Linked DNA regions of Rattus norvegicus. The protein of the gene in region 2 interacts with the protein of the main gene of each other region in a pairwise test. Links are inferred from orthologs where the notes say so. Each region holds a gene or a part of one and is shown on either strand. Other genes may lie near its edges. The genes, in order: Bcl2l12 and Gsk3b.

Evidence for each region.
Region 1: the proteins of Gsk3b (region 2) and Bcl2l12 interact in a two-hybrid assay, tested with the Homo sapiens proteins (2 studies listed by BioGRID and IntAct). The link is inferred for Rattus norvegicus from reciprocal best matches to the Homo sapiens genes GSK3B and BCL2L12.

What each region holds. Positions count from the first base shown.
Region 1 is NC_086019.1:104,614,337-104,618,861, forward strand, and holds the start of Bcl2l12 (bcl-2-like protein 12), read right to left. Parts: upstream 3,103-4,525; 5' UTR 3,050-3,102; intron 2,815-3,049; coding exon of another isoform or gene 2,714-2,814; exon of another isoform or gene 2,676-2,713; intron 2,374-2,675; exon of another isoform or gene 2,272-2,373; intron 2,110-2,271; 5' UTR 1,929-2,109; intron 1,816-1,928; exon of another isoform or gene 1,673-1,815; intron 1,363-1,672; 5' UTR 1,355-1,362; coding exon 1,248-1,354; intron 1,064-1,247; coding exon 921-1,063; intron 1-920. Other genes in the region: Irf3 (interferon regulatory factor 3), read left to right, coding at 2,714-2,814, 3,103-3,301, 4,461-4,525.
Region 2 is NC_086029.1:76,055,534-76,059,342, forward strand, and holds part of Gsk3b (glycogen synthase kinase-3 beta), read right to left. Parts: intron 863-3,809; coding exon 756-862; intron 1-755. UniProt on the Homo sapiens protein: Constitutively active protein kinase that acts as a negative regulator in the hormonal control of glucose homeostasis, Wnt signaling and regulation of transcription factors and microtubules, by phosphorylating and inactivating glycogen synthase (GYS1 or GYS2), EIF2B, CTNNB1/beta-catenin, APC, AXIN1, DPYSL2/CRMP2, JUN, NFATC1/NFATC, MAPT/TAU and MACF1.

The DNA.
Region 1 (4,525 bases), on a different chromosome or scaffold from region 2:
AATGGCAGTACCATGAGGGCCCCTCAGCCTACAGCCTTGGTGAAACACTACTGCAGGAGCTGTCCCCAGGGGTAGCAGCTCCTCTCCATCCTCCTGGAGCAGCCCCACAGAGATGGCATCTCAGCCAAAACAGCCTGCAGCCGAGGGCTTCTCATCCTAACCCATGGGCCCAATGCAGGGAAAAGGTGATGAAAAAAGGCCACCAATCCCTGAGCTTCCCAAGCTCAGGACTTGAAATCCCACCAATCGTCAATCTGGAAATCCCTGCCCTGAGAAGCTCCACCCTCTAAGAAGTCCTATATAAGCCCTGCCCTCTGTCTAATTCCCTGCTGTCTGATCCCAGGAGCAGAGGGCAGTCATCCATGGATTTGTCCCTCCATACTCTGAACCCTCCAAAAAGTCTCTTTCATGAGATTTTCTGCCTGGTGTGACTCTCTAATCAGAAGGCGCCAAGAAGAAAAGAAGCAATGAAGCAAAGAAGTGGAGCGGGGCTGAGGCTCCTGAGCACCTCGGCTCAGCTGGGGATGGATACCCTCCCTTGACCAAAACACCTCTGCCGAGGAGGCTTCCTCCCAGAGCTGTGTGGTTCCTGGGCCCCTATGTCTCAGGATGCCCTAACATTGGGACACTGTCCCGCCTCAGAGCTGCATGATTCTTGGGCTCCCGGTCTCAGGTCTCTCTTGCACTGGGATACCTTCATCCTTCAGAGCTGTGTGGTTTCTGGGCTTTGGAGTCCCAGGATACCTCCCATCCAGGCAGAAACACTTACCCCCTAGAAAGAAGTGTAACAAAGAACTGAAATGGCTATGGCCGGCACTGAAGCTGAGCAGTGTTGACTTTATAATGGGTACTGTCTGGATTCTTCAGGACCAAGGCTGCTAGCCTCCAAATTTCACAAGTGATCTGAAGAAATCTCTTACCAGGCTCTGAACCATAGCAGGGACGGAGGGGAAGGAAGCAGGGCCTAGAGGACTCAGGGGGAGGAGCTTCTCGCCCCAGGGGACAAGGGAGGCATCTTCGGAGTCGGCTCAGGAAATCTGTTGTCTCTTCTTGGGCAGGGCTCCTAGGGGCAAGAACCTCAGAGTTATCCCAGAGGGTTCTGAGCAAACAATCCCTTCGTCCTCTCGTGGAAGATTCTTGAAGCTTGGGACAGACATATGGGGTTAGGTATGAAGGGAGTAGACCACTAGACTCAGGAAGATCTTCTGATCAAAGGCTGGCCCTGGGGGAGTGGAATAGTATCTCACCTGGGTGGAGTTGGGACAGGGGACCCAGCAGTTTCACCGCGCCTAAGGAAGGCAGTCAGAACCTTCAGTGTGTCCTCTTGGAGACCCAACTCTTCAGAGCCGGCCATGGAGGTACCTGAAGCAGAAGACAGAGAATGTACCCAAATGGAGTGATAACTCAAACTTCATTCAATCACTGAATGAAGAGGACACCTTACTCCAAGGAAAAGGTGGCTTAAGGGCCAGTGGGGCAGTTGATTCCGTTGAGGAGAAAGGGCCTGAATTATTGAATCTAAGAAAGGACGTAGGGGTTGGGGATTTAGCTCAGTGGTAGAGCGCTTGCCTAGCAAGCGCAAGGCCCTGGGTTCGGTCCCCAGCTCCGAAAAAAAAGAAAAAAAAAAAGAAAGAAAGAAAGAAAGGACGTAACTGAGTGCTTGGACTCTTACATGCAGGAGCAGGAAGGGAGCCCTGAGTGCTGAAGGAGTCTCGAAGACCCTAGAGAATAGGGAACTACTAATCCTAGTACGCTTTGCGGCAAACGCTAGCCGGGTTTCCCCTCTTTTTCACCGAGCAGCCTGCTGGGAGATGTAGTTCCAATGACCTCTGGCGGGCACCAGGAGACCTCCGTGCTTGGAAGTCAGAGAGACAGGACTGGCTGTGACCTCTCCTGCAACCTAGCTCCCTCCCTGGTACCCCGCTCACCTGGATCGGGGTTCTGCCTCAGTCGTACTGGCGCACACACGCTTTCACTCAATTTCTACAAACTTTACTTCCGAAGTTCAACTTTCCCGCGCCTGCGCACTGGGCCGACACGGTAACCGCCCCAACGTCGAGGGGGCGGAGCGCTGTGTTGCATCATTTGCATATGGCGTTCCCAGCATGCCTGTAGGCGGAAGGCCAAAAAAGGGCATTGAGGGAGTTAGGCCGGTTCAGTCGGAGTGTGCTCCTAGGTTTTCTGACTTTTCTTAAAGTAAATGATGAGAAATTTTTTTTTTATCTCAAAATACCATTAGAAAGGAAAGTCCCAACGCTCGGAAGCTTAGTTGACAAAGAAGGGGGTTGCGTGGCTGCGAGTCTCAACTACTGTTTGGGAGCCCCAAAACCAGTGCTGACACCCGCGCCCCACGAGCGCGCAATTCCTCCCCTGGTAGGTAACGCGGAAGAACCGGGAGGGTGGCGGCCTCAGGGCACAGGAGCTCGGCTACCGAAAACCAGAATGGTTACGCGTTGTAGACGGAAGCCTGCAGTCTCAGCATCCAGACTGGAGGCAGTAAAGATTGCTGCAAGTTCGAGGCCAGTGAGCTCCAGGCCAGGCTGAACCACAGAATGAGCTCCAAACCAGCATGGGTTAAGCGAGTTGAAGACCAGCCTGAGCTACTGAATAAGTTTGAGGGTAGCTTGGGTTACAGAGTGCATTCGAGGCCAGCCTGGGCCACACAGTGAGTTGAAGACCAATCATGGCTACATAGCAAGTTCGAGGACAGCCTATGCTCCATACTAAGACCCTGTCTCAAAACATCCATAAAAACAATGTAGAAAAGACAAAGCAGAAGAAGCGACAGCAGCTGGGAGAAGACTCTGGAAATGAGTAAGGGTTTTCTGCAAGGGTGAGGTGGGTGTGAGAACAGTCATGATTCTTTAAAGACAGGGAAAGAGGACTCCACCCTGGAAATGGGGTACTTGCTTTGAGTAATAGGGGTTTACATTTAGAAAAGGGAAAGAACCTATGGAAAACTGTGGGGTAGGATAGGCGGTCCCGTTGGAATTGGAAAGGTGGGAAGGAGTTTCCCGTTTGTACACAGGAAAACAGGGTGAAGGAAGGCCTGTGCTGTATCGGGTCGGAGAGGTTTGAGTGCATTTGCCCCTTGACATACAGGCTCAGGAACTGCACTGTATGCGCAGGCTGGATCATGGGAACCCCGAAACCGCTGATTTTGCCTTGGCTGGTGTCTCAGCTGGACCTGGGACAGCTGAAAGGTGTGGCCTGGCTGGACGAGAGCCGTACAAAGTTCAGGATCCCATGGAAGCATGGCTTACGACAGGACGCACAGATGGCTGACTTTGGCATCTTCCAGGTGCTGGGGGGGAGGGGGCGGGGGGGGGCGTTGAGACTTCAGAGGCATTTATGGGCGTGACTAGACAGGGCTGGGTCTTGCTAATTAGGTGGGATAGACTTGGAGGGACAGCCCGGAATTGATTGGCAGATTCCAGGAATAGAATTCTGAAAGCCAGGTTGTGTCTCTAAAAAACTGTTCTGGAGCAATGGTTCTCAATCTGTGGGACGCAACCCCTTTGGGGGTTGAACGGGCCTTTCATTGGAAAACAGATATTCACATTAAGATTTATAACAGCTGGGGTTGGGATTTAGCTCAGTGGTAGAGCGCTTGCCTAGCAGGAGCAAGGCCCTAGCAAGGCCCTGGGTTCGGTCCCCAGCTCCGGAAAAAAAAAAAAAAAAAAAAGATTTATAACAGCAAAATTACAGTTTTGAAGTAGCAATGAAAAAAATTTGGGGCTGGGGACTCACTACATCATGAGGATCTGTATTCGGATAGTTGAGAACAGCTCTTTTATTAGAGGATGGGAAATCTCGGGGGGGGGGTGGGCTCTTGATTTTAGATCCCTTAAATCTTAAGAATTGGAACAGCCCTCAGGATGGGGTTATTAGCTACCAGATCAGCATGGTAGTAACAGAATGTGGGGTGAGGTACCAAGTAGGTCCTAGAATACTGGCTTAAAAAACAAAAGGCTTGGGTTGGAGAGATGGCTCAGCGGTTGGGAGCACTGACTGCTCTTCCAGAGGTCCTGAGTTCAGATCCCAGCAACCACATGGTGTCTCACAACCATCTGTAATGAGATCTGATGCCCTTTTCTGGCACATCTGAGGACAGCTACGTGTACTCGTCTATAATAAATAAACCTAAAAAAAAAAAACAAACCAAAATCAAAAGGCTTGAAGGTGGATGTGTGGCATACGTTTGTAATCCCAGCACTCTGGAAGTGGCAGCTAGAGGGTCGAAACTTGGAGCCTACCTTTGTTATAATGTGTGAGACCCTGTCTCATATTCAAAAATATTTTTCTAAAGTGTGGAAAATATAGATAAGGATGAGGTCGGGACAGAAGTCCTAGGGGCTCTATGAATGTGAGAACTTAGGTCAGGAACCAGAAATGTATGGAATATGGTGGGAGGTGTCTAAGTAGTCTTCCCTACTGTCCTGGAATCACTGATGTATCAGGCCTGGGCGGAAGCCAGTGGTGCCTACACCCCAGGGAAGGATAAGCCAGACCTGTCAACCTGGAA
Region 2 (3,809 bases):
AAATATAGTGCAGAGCAATGAAGGAAGACACCTGACGTCACCCTCCCCCTCCTCCCCCCCCCCCCCGCCACTGCCCTGATAAATACATGAAATAAACAGGTTTTTGTCTGCTAACATAGCAATGGCACTAGAACAGGTTAAGAAGATAGGGTCAATGCAGACCTCAACCATCTCTAACCCTTCTATCAATAGACATCTCCAGCGAGATCTGAACAACCAGTGGGCTTAGCTGAAAAGCTAATGAATTAAGTTGCTCAAAAATTAAGCGATGCATCATTGTAGGGATTCAGGAATATCATTGCCCTACCGATTACAATATTAACATTTTAAAAGTAACATTATTTATTAACACATTTCTAAGTAGTTTAGGCTCAGAAGTAAACATTTCAGAACTAGAAAACCAGTGCAGACCCCATTAGTTAACTCAGCAGCTGAGTTTCTCCAGCGCGGCTGGGACTGAGCTCCACACACGTCTTTTTGCCATCCATCTCTGCCTCAGTAATGTTTTTAAAAGCTTATCAACATTTGTTTGAAACTTAAGAGCCAAACAAATGCATTAAGCAACTACAATACAAAATAATATTTTTATAATTCTAATAGTAGAAAAGCATAAATTCTAAAATGTAAAAAAAATTAATTCTACTCATTTCTGCAAAAGTGTACTGCTGCAGCCCTGCTCTGTCGTGCCCTGCCTTGTTGGAGAAGGGTCAGGACAGTTAACAGTCACACCCACCGCACCCAGAGCCAGCACTTACCTATACTAGACGTGTAATCGGTGGCTCCAAAGATCAGCTCTGGTGCCCTGTAGTACCGAGAACAGATATATGAAACATTGGGCTCTCCTCGGACCAGCTGCTTTGCACTGATGAAAAATAAAAATAAAAAACAATCTTTAATCGTCTAAACCTTGTAAGCAACACACTTGAAATGTTTCCAACAAGAGAAATACACAAGTTCAGCAAATTGATACTTTAAAGAGGAATTTTTAAAGTGAGCATTTGTCAAGCCTTAGCTAAGGAACAAAGAGATTTAAAAAATTACAAAAGGACACACATGTTCAATTTCTTCTGGTTTCCCCATTTCCTACATTCAACTTGTGAAATATAAAATGGCTGACGGGCAAGGTGGTGCGACCTTCCCTCCCAGCACTCGGGAGGCAGAGACAGGCGGACCTCTGCGAGATGGAGGCCACTCTGTAGTGAGAGTTCCAGGTCAGCCAATGGTATACAGTGAGACACTGCCTCAAAATAATAAGTAACTAAATAAAATATAAAGATGAAGGGCAGGAAATTAAAGAGCAACCTTCTGCAACAAAAGACTGTTAGCAAATCATAGAAGTGAATGTATCAGTATTCCCCACCTATATGCTTTTAAAAGGGGGAGTGTGGGGGGGACCTGGCTACTCTGTTAAACTTGGTCTTCAGACCCGGGATGACCAGCTCGGCCTTACACAGCCAATCCATGCTTCCACACCGCAGTCGATTTAAACACCTACTGCTAAACAAACTGTAAAAGGCATTTGATTTAAGTGACTCAGGCCCGATCTGCTCCATCGCTGCAGTGCTACGTTGAACATATTATTACAACTTTCCTCCTAAAGTAGTTTACAGTACATATTTTAAATGTTAAAGTGAGTCACAGTGTCTCTTGAAATGTCTCTCTGGGTAACTCCATCTCATATAAGCAGGCTGCTCTAGGAGCTGTTCTGACAGTAGCATGAGATACAGAAAAGAAATACATGCGATAAAATCAAATGAATGAACAAATAGAAAAAAATAAATAAATGCCAAAAACAGGTGGAAAATCTGAGGTAACAGTGCAGGACACAGACATGTGAAAATGGTCATTCAGTCTTGGGGGTCTAGGTTTCCTCCCTTTCAGTTTACTTCTACTCAATGATGGCTCTAAACTTGATTTGTTCTTTCCTTCATTATCTGTTTCAAATTTTAATCTTTTTCTTAGGCCCAGATAAAACAGTGTTCGCTATGTTAACAACACTAAGGTTTTCAGACTGTCAAAAAAGTCAAGATATTCAGTGTTAGTGCCCTCGATAACAGACGTTTCTATCTTCAGAAGTGCGCCTTGGGGACTTGGAATGGCCCCTTGAAAAAGCAGCTCTAGGATGCGGAGTTTAAATCCAGCTCCCGAACGAATGACCAGCAAGCAGGACACAGTGGCCCACACCTTCAGTCTCAGCGCTCTACAGAGGCAGAGGCAGCTGCTGCTGCGACAGCCAGGGCCACAGAGACCCTGTCTCAGAAACCAAACACACGAGGCACATTTTTTTTTTTTTTGGTTCTTTTTTTCGGAGCTGGGGACCGAACCCAGGGCCTTGCGCTTCCTAGGTAAGCGCTCTACCACTGAGCCAAATCCCCAGCCCCACGAGGCACATTTTTAATGGGTAAAGCAGATGCTTAGAAGAGAAACGCACAACAACTCAGTCATCCAACTGAGAGCTTTGACAGCCTGTATCCTTTTCCCTCATCACCAACGAAACTAACTTTTCCCTTTACCTAATGGCCCTTAGACACCCCAGTTAGACTCTATAAAATGGGTTTTTTTCACACCCCATTTCAGCTACTGCCAGACCTGTTACACCTAATTAAAAATTATTAAGAAGGCAGTTTTGTTAAGTTTTCACCTTAAGTGTCTCCAAAATCCTACCTCAGAGTTGCTAAAGAATGAGCTATTTCACACCTGTGAAAGCCCTCTTTCAAATGTATCCAGGCACAGCTACTTTACACCCGTAGAATCCGCTGGGCGCGGGCGCGAACAATGCTCTGACATGGTGGTGAGCAGAGGAACTTGCACTAGGTGGCTCTTGCAGGACTCGGCAGTTACTCTCCCCAGTAACAAACCCCATGTGATTTGGGTGCCTTTTCATAGGTGAAACAAGCAGCAGCCCACCATTCAACCATCAAATAAAAAAACGCCTTAGTGTGTATTTTCACCTGAGCCGCAGCCTGCAGTGCTGAGACCCTGGGATAGGGTTTGTTAAGTGGAATGGCTTGAAAGAAACTGCAGAACAAGACTAAGCATGAACCTACTGACAGCAGGTTGGCTCGGTTTTTCCAAATACCTCCCTTCACCTGCACTGATGTTAAACCCACAATCTAATCTACGGTTTGGTATAGACGTCTATATAAAGAGGAGGGACTATAGACAGCAGGAGTCAATGTATCATCTGTGGTGCTAAACTGAAAAAGAAGAACTTCTAACAAGGATGAAAAAGCACCCAAGTTATAAGGACAGAAGTCTCAGCACAGAGAGTAGGGCTACCCCCGGAGGCGACAGATAGAGAATGAAGAAGGGATATGGTGATCTGTCCTGTGGGGTATAGGCTTGGCTGCATGTTGGGAGGCTTTATAGCTAAATGCTACACAAAGAGAAAGCATGAGGAGTTTACACTAGCAACAGTATATAACCAAGAAATCGGCGGTTTAAAAAAAAATCATACTTGTTAGAATCTGCAAAAATGGGGAAATAATAGAGGAAATATTAATAGTAAATATTAATAGAGAAAAATATTGCCTCTCTGTATTTTACTGCACTCCTGTATTGAGGTTGAGTGTGAAGTTAAAGGAATATATGCAAATGTATAACTTAAGAGATTTATTAGTAATAAAGATGGAGCAGATATATGTATTCCATAAGCTCAAGGAGTTTATACTAAAGAGCAGTCATTGGGAATGTAAGTTTCCCAAGTACACGATAATCCTCAAACATCCCGTCCCAGACAATCGTGTATGAGGTATTACATATCAACTCAGAATAAGCCATGTTTGTTATGTGTGTTTGCACACTAGTCA